Linked DNA regions of Daphnia pulex. The protein of the gene in region 2 purifies or fractionates together with the protein of the main gene of each other region. This does not show direct contact. Links are inferred from orthologs where the notes say so. Each region holds a gene or a part of one and is shown on either strand. Other genes may lie near its edges.

Region 1 (3,600 bases), on a different chromosome or scaffold from region 2:
TGCCTTCCGTCCTTGCCGTCGTTTTACATTCATTGATTTAGATTTTGAAGTGGAACGTGAGCTAGCACTGGAACGACTGGAACGACTGCTTGAGCTCGAGTATGAACTCGAACTTGAGCTCGATGTCGACGACGATGTTGAAAAAGATGACCCAGACGAATAGCTACGTCGTCTAGAACCTTTAGCTCCAGCCGAATTTCCTCCGGCGCCAACGACTGCACTTGAAGATGGACCACCACCAGCAGCACCTCCGCCTCCAGCACCACCAGGAGATCTTGATCTCATCCACGGATCCCACCATTCATCACTACGTCCACGCTGAGCTGGAGGCACAACTTCCACGTATCTATATTGAACAATTTAAAAGGTTCAATAAAGGATTTTGTTTTGGTTCTACAGACGCAGTCACATTGCATCAATTAAAACTGACCTCTCATCAGACCATCTTTTTTCGTGAGGGGGAGGAAGTTGAGGTTGGGATTTACTGGCAGATGGATGGATATCTCGTTCACTTGGTTTTGGACCGTAGTAGTGCGGACGCTCATATCCTTCCGGATGATAGTATTCCCTTTCTCTATACTCTGATTCTGGTGGGTAAGGTCGCCGGCCTTCGTACGGATAAGGGTAACCAGGTGGGGGGTGGCGGTGAGGAGGCGGGTAGCGTGACGGAGGCCATCGCCCTTCAGCTGATGGAGGTAAAAATTTATGGTATGGTTCTGTATCTGGCTCTTCAAATCTAGAGGAGTAAAAAAATTAACAGATCCTATTTAACTCTTAAACAGATTTTAATGCAGTGCGATTTAACTTACGGAGGAGGGACGTCTCCATGTAAAACTGGACTAGCAGGTCGAGTGTAGTAGTCATTCTCTTTGTCCAATTCTTCCTCACCTAAACCTAAATTTAGTTTTTTTTCTTCGAAGTCAATGTCAGTTTCTTTACGATGACTGGACTTTTTGAGCATCTGTAAAGAAAACGTTTATTATGAACCCATAGCAATAAACTTAAATAATCACGGCATTGTCTCATACCTCTTTGGCTTGTCTCAGTCCTCTTTCCCAAGGTGATTCAGCACCGGTTGCATCAGTCCGAGGTGGCTCGGCCGGCTACAATTCAGAAATGAAGTTTCTCAAATAACGAAAATTGACTTAGCTGAAAGTAAGTAACCGTGTACCTGTGGATGTCGTGGAGGTCGAGGATTAGCGACCCTTGGCTGAGAATTTGCCCACTCTGCTGGCGGGATGAGTGGAACCACCGGTGGTCGATCAAAAGGTCTTTCGTAGGGTGCTGAAGGCCCGTTATGGGCAGATGGACGTGCAGGAGCAAACATATTGTAATTTCCCTTGTCTAATACTCCAGGATGAACAAATCTGTAAAACAATATCAATACTTTTTCTTTCAAAAAAAGAAAAATACTAGTTCTTACCTGCAATTATTACCCCAAGTACAATTGCCTTTACTGTAAAATCTACAAACAGGCCTAGGTTCCATGCGTGCATGTTTGCCAACATCTTCTTCGCTGCTAACTTCACCTTCTTCCAACTCTTCACCTTCCTCTAGTTCTTCTTCACTTGCTTCCTTTTCTCTCTGTGGCTTCTCTCCATCACATTCTCCATCTTCGTCATCTTTTTCAGGCTTTCTGTCTTCAATCGGCTTTTTGGGCTCTTCTTCAAGATTATCTTCTTCAAAGTCTAATTCAGTGTCTTTAATCAATGGATCCAAAATTTGAGGAGATTTTTTACTAGATGAATCTTTGCAGTTTTCGTTAGCTTCCATTTCATCATCTGATACCATTTCAAGACTATCCTCATCTTCTTTGCTTGAATCTGAAGCCATTAACTCTTGTTTATGTTCATCCAGCAAGCCACCTGATTGGGCATTTTCATCAAGCCCAATCACTTCTCCACTATCAGATTTTCTATCAATTTCATCTACGTTTGAACTCAGACGACTGGATTCAGCGGCTTGGTCCTGATCAACCATGGAGTTGCTGCTAATGCTGCTTCGGCTTTCCGGACGCGAATTCGTATACAACTGTCCTTCGATTATGCTTGAACTGGTTCCAGACAAGTCAGGATCCGGGCTTGCTGGAGCACTTAAACCGCTTTGACTCATTCTTTTACTAATATACGTTAAACAACAGTGGTAACCATCAATTACTAACTTTAGCCAACAAACTGGGAAAAACTACCAAAAATCCAAACAACCTGGCTTGCAACTAAGCCGCCATGACAGCCCCGTTTTTTGTCGGCTGTTTATAATATATGATGCCAATTAAATTTTGAACATTTCAATACATTTATCATCTATTCTATAGTCAGACGCAAACTATTTGAAAGTATTTAAATTTTTTTAACTATTTTTTTTAGATTTGGTTCACTCAAAGAGTTGAAACTGGAAAATAATAAGGTACTAAATTTTTTTATTTTTGGCAACGCTGAAACAATTGTGCGCGCACAAAAGAAAGGTTTGAAATCATGCGGATAGCGGATTTGCGCTTTTATCATTAGCCATTTAAGTTGAGTCAATACTCAACGAAAGAGTTTTCTGCTTTCGTCAACATGAGTTATCATTTATTTTTTAAGTTTCGGTGGACGGGTTCAAAACTTCCAATGTTCAATCAATCGTAGAGTTATCTGACCTGAAAATATTGACAAAAACAAGACTGATAAGTTTTTGATCTATCGTAGCCTTTTGATTACGAAACATAATTTTCGTTTAGTCACTTGATTCGTTTTCGTTTAGTCATTGGCCCATTGCATGTTTAGCTCCATGCTTAACCTCTCTCAAACATTTTACATTCTTTTTTAAGCAAAACATTTAAAATTCATATTATTGAATGTCTCGATTAATTACCGTTTTAGCAATAATTGCTTGGACCTTTTCAACTTCAACTTTTCAACTGCCACCACCCTGCCCCAGGCAAGAAAATTTCTGTAATCTAACAATGAAATTGCTTAATTACCAGAATTACGTTTTAATTTTAGCGAAATTTATTGCTATGGACCCCTGCTGCATGCTGTCCAAAACGCGGAGTTATACAAAGATTCCAAAACTTTTGTGGATAAAAAATTGCGTTTTAATCCAGAAATAGTCTTAACTAGTTTCTCACAGTTCATGACCGACACTGAAAACCAGCCAACCAAAGAAGAATTACAGGCATTTGTTGACAGCAATTTTGAAGCTGAAGGATTGGAATTCCAGAATTGGGATCCATCGGACTGGATCAGTGATCCTCCATTTCTATCTCAAATTAATAATTCAGAGTTCCGCAATTGGGGGAATCGTCTTCATGAAGGATGGAAATCTCTCGGGCGACAGATAAAAGGTGATGGTCTAAAAAGAAACATTATGGTTTTATTGATTTCCTTAAATTGCAGTCCAGTTTTCTTTCCGCCAGATAAGAGAATCATATTTTAAATTTCTATTCTTTGCTGGTGTTCTCTCTTTCACTGCTTGGACTATGGGCTCTGTGTTGTAATTCTAGACGACGTTCGTGATAATCCTGATTTATACTCCATTGTATATGTTCCGAATCCATTTATTGTTCCCGGTGGAAGATTCAGAGAATCCTATTACTGGGATTCTTATTGGATCGTAAAA
Region 2 (3,959 bases):
TACTTATACAGCGTTACTTTGATTGATTTCATCAAAAACATACCCTTATTTGTCTTGAGCGAGATTGATGTCTTCAGGTGGGTTACTGCAGTGAACAACAATTATGATGTTCGTTTCAGTCATCGGGTAAGCAAGCCAACGAATATCTTGACCGATCCCGTGAACTTCCTTTTCAGTAGATTCAGCAAATCTTTTCACAATTGAATTAGGGGTAGCACCTGATATGGGCTCGACTTTTAGCATAACCATATTCGTCTCTACGGTATATCGATCAACTTCCACAACGCTTTTTCCAACCTCTTGCGCAGTAACAGCCAATTGACCAATTGTTTGGTGAAAATATGATCTTGAGCTACCCTGGTAGGTCCCTTTGAAAGTGACAAAATTCCGGCTGCGGCCAAAATACCCGCCTGCCGCATTCCTCCTCCAAGTGCTTTTCGACAACGATGAGCCTGAGTATGAGTGTTATTGAATACCTCCAGTTCATGTTGATATCCATCCATGGTTGATATTTTAATAGATGGAATTTATGTTGCATAAAGGGCCGATTTCACAGCAAATGACACTGCATCATAAGGGTTCTCTCCACATTCATGATCTATTTTAATGCCATTAAAATGATTCATGAGAAATTGTTGATTGGTGGAAAAATGAGAAATTGATGATTGGTGGAAATATTGACAAATTCCCCCCAAAAAACCTAAACCCCGTGAAAAAAACACCCTATCGGGAAACTCGCGCGCGAAGCAAGGGATCGGCATGTGTACACACTACGAACGGTGCGATGGTTTAGCCTAGCATGTGGCGCCACGACAATTTAATTTATCATTAGATCAATTAAAGCTATAATTAGGATTAAAATATAAAATTCATAACAAATACAAAATAAATAATAGAATGTAATAGCTAGTTGAATCTTGCTTTTGCCAATGGTGTTAATAAAAAAATCTTTAAGACTACTTTCTTACTAGGTACATTAGAAGTTTAATTCATAAATGATCCAATTATTAGAAAAAAACATTGGTGAAAATATATTTTTTTGTTATCTTATTAGTTATTACAAGAAATTAACTAGCTTAGCGCTTAGCGGCCTTAGCCTATGTCGCTTGTCAGTTGTCTCTCAGCCCAAGCCATGTTCTTCAGTTACTGATTATTCAAATCATAAGGCAGTAACAGTTTTACCCTGCAGGCGACAGCACTTGTATTCCTCAAACTTTCGTTGGCACCAACGGGCAACGGCGTTCTCAGTTTTCTTCTGATCGCGTGGCGAAATCAAACTAAACGCAAATTTGGGTAAAGTTCGAAGAAGATATGAAATTTATGAACATCAATAGTTTTATAGCGAGTTCTGTAACTTTGTGTGTGAAATTAAGTTTTTTATTTTACTTGCGTTGGTATTTGAGTATGCCGGTACATCGAATTGTTCTTATCAAAAATCATCTGCATTTTCGGCCATATTGCCACTTAGTTGGCAGTACTTTTACTTATTAGTTGATTAATTGATGCTTAATATTATAAAACATTAAACTAAAGTTTCCTCTTTTTTTTCTCCATAGCTTAAGAAGTAGGTCACCAACCTGTACCATGGGGGACAGTGATGATGATTATGATCGTCGCAGAAGGGATAAGTTTAGAGGAGAACGAAGTGAGTACCGGGGAGCTGGAGAATCTGGAAGGAGAGAAGAAAGAGGCAATCCTAGGAGAGAAGAGTGGAATGATAGGTTGGTTTGACAAATGCTCTGTTATTTTTAAGCTGTTTAGTCCAATGCATGTTTCAAAGTAGAGGCATCATGGAACCGAGAAGAGGTGAATCTTGGTCTCAAAGAGGGTCTCGTTCTCAACCACGTCACGAATATCGCGAATCTTACAGAGGTCGTGAAAGATACAGCCCAGCAGGTGGGTATGATGCACCACAAGCTCCAAAAAGGATGAGGCCTGACTGGTATGTTTTTCATACTAATATTATGCTGCCATTTATTAATCTTGTAAAATGGTTTTAGGGAAGACAGGCGCTATGGATTTGATGCTGGTTATGGGCCCAACATTGGCTCTTCATGGGGTCAGAATGAACCAGTCATTAATACTCCACCAAACGCTGGAAACTTTAGTGGATCTTCTTCAAGGTAATGTTTTTATGGTAATTGTTAGTTGTGTAGGGTTAATAATAATAATAAATAATGCCTGATTTTCCAGAGGGGAAGAATTTCCTACTCAACCACCAATGATGTCCTTTAAAGCTTTTCTGGCTGCCCACGATGATTCAATCTCTGACGAAGAAGCAGTTAAAAAGTATGCCGAGTACAAGCTAGAATTTCGTCGTCAGCAGCTGAATGAATTTTTCACAAGCCACAAGGATGAAGAGTGGTATGTTTTTGCTTGTTTTTTTTCTTGTTTTTACAAGTGTTAATATCAAATTTAATCAATATTTTAAGAATTTCTTATAAGTTTTCTTTTAAAGACTTGTGTGTTGTGTATTGCATTGAATTTTTCTGGTAACTAAATTATTTATAAGTTTTGCCGCGTGTAATCGGATTTCGGATAACCAATTTACATATATTTAATCCCCCCTGTTTTTCAGCCGATTGACATAGCTGCTATTGACGTCCCTCCGTTTATTTCAACCATCTCCGACCTTTCTATAAGGTGCCATACCATCTGTCAAAAGCTACTTGAAAATCAATTTTTTAACTGTGTGAACATGAAATGAACAGATCTCCAAAGTGTGCGTTAGAGTAGGGTTCAACTGCGCGCAATGCAGTGGTCAGTTAGTAGCTAGGTTATAAAAAATCCGTACCGGGAGAACAGGTGAGGGAAATCTTGGCCTCTTGAAAAGTGTGGTCCCTAGCTGGTTATTTTAATTCGAAGTTTTCAACATTAATTCTGTTACTAATTTGTTTTATTATATTTTCCTCGAACGAATGTAGGTTTAAGTTGAAATATCACCCGGAAGAGAATCAAAAACGGAAGAACGAGCATAAAGCTCATATTGAAGTAAGTTGTCTCTAATTTTGACAGATTCTGGTTGTAACTAATCAATTAATTCAATATAGTTACGCATGAAAACTATTTTGGATTTAATGGCTGAGGGTTCTTTTGATCAAGTGACTATCGATGCGGATCAGTCAGAAAAGCTAGTAAAACTTCTTGACACCGTGGTAATTAAACTCGAAGGTGGGAATGAGTTAGATCTTCAGGTCCTTGACAACCCTCCTCAACCAACCGCCGATAAGGTTTGTCTATTTAATTTCCTTTAATTGGTTATAACTGATTTTTTAAAAATCATTTCACTTTCATAATTGAAGCAGCCTATTAAAATCCAAGAGAAGGTTATCAAGGAGATTGAAGATAAAGAAAATGATGATTTGGGCGAAGGCGACGATGCTAAAGAAGATGGTGTGATCGAGGACTCCAAAATGGAAATTAGCTCTGACCCAAAAAGTCCTAATAACAGTAGGAATTCATTGTTATTAATTTTTGACGCACTGCCTTACCAGTATTTTTTATATTTATTTTATAGGTGGCAAAAGAAAACGAAGCGGATTTGAATCGGATAGTGGAAGCGACTGGGAGCGGGAAGGAAAGGAACAATCGGAAATATCTGAAGCTCCTCAAAGCCCTGATGGTAAGCCAGCTGGTGGTGAGGGTAGTCCTAGGGAAACCGAAGCAGCTGATGAAATTCCAGTAAAAGATGATGCCAAAGAAAAAGTTGATGAAGATGAAAGCAAGGAGGAAGAAAAAAAGGAAAATGGCGGGCCAGTTCTTCCCCGAGAATTGCATCGGACTGCCTCCATATTTCTCCGTAATTTGGCACCTACCATTACCAAACTGGAAGTCGAAGCGGTAATGAGAGTTTCTAATTTTTTTTGTTAGATTCAGTTTTCTAATCTTTAGCTTTGTTTAATGAAGATGTGCAAACGGTATCCTGGATTTTTACGTGCTGCTATTGCTGATCCTCAGCC

What was found. Proteins that work in one complex are often made in the same cells at the same time.
Region 1: the proteins of serrate RNA effector molecule homolog (region 2) and zinc finger CCCH domain-containing protein 18-like purify together in Homo sapiens (co-immunoprecipitation; 4 studies listed by BioGRID and IntAct, counting the BioPlex papers as one, with this or other methods). This does not show direct contact. The link is inferred for Daphnia pulex from reciprocal best matches to the Homo sapiens genes SRRT and ZC3H18.

Annotation. Positions count from the first base shown.
Region 1 is NC_060020.1:4,875,983-4,879,582, reverse strand, and holds the start of zinc finger CCCH domain-containing protein 18-like, read right to left. Parts: upstream 2,256-3,600; 5' UTR 2,113-2,255; coding exon 1,424-2,112; intron 1,368-1,423; coding exon 1,172-1,367; intron 1,104-1,171; coding exon 1,029-1,103; intron 962-1,028; coding exon 810-961; intron 737-809; coding exon 431-736; intron 347-430; coding exon 1-346. Other genes in the region: trehalase-like, read left to right, coding at 2,837-2,919, 2,985-3,325, 3,485-3,600.
Region 2 is NC_060024.1:618,539-622,497, forward strand, and holds the start of serrate RNA effector molecule homolog, read left to right. Parts: upstream 1-1,135; 5' UTR 1,136-1,293; exon of another isoform or gene 1,294-1,410; intron 1,411-1,556; 5' UTR 1,557-1,584; coding exon 1,585-1,721; intron 1,722-1,780; coding exon 1,781-1,942; intron 1,943-2,000; coding exon 2,001-2,123; intron 2,124-2,193; coding exon 2,194-2,364; intron 2,365-2,924; coding exon 2,925-2,991; intron 2,992-3,050; coding exon 3,051-3,230; intron 3,231-3,302; coding exon 3,303-3,450; intron 3,451-3,517; coding exon 3,518-3,840; intron 3,841-3,906; coding exon 3,907-3,959. Other genes in the region: uncharacterized protein R102.4-like, read right to left, coding at 46-190, 298-503. UniProt on the Homo sapiens protein: Acts as a mediator between the cap-binding complex (CBC) and the primary microRNAs (miRNAs) processing machinery during cell proliferation.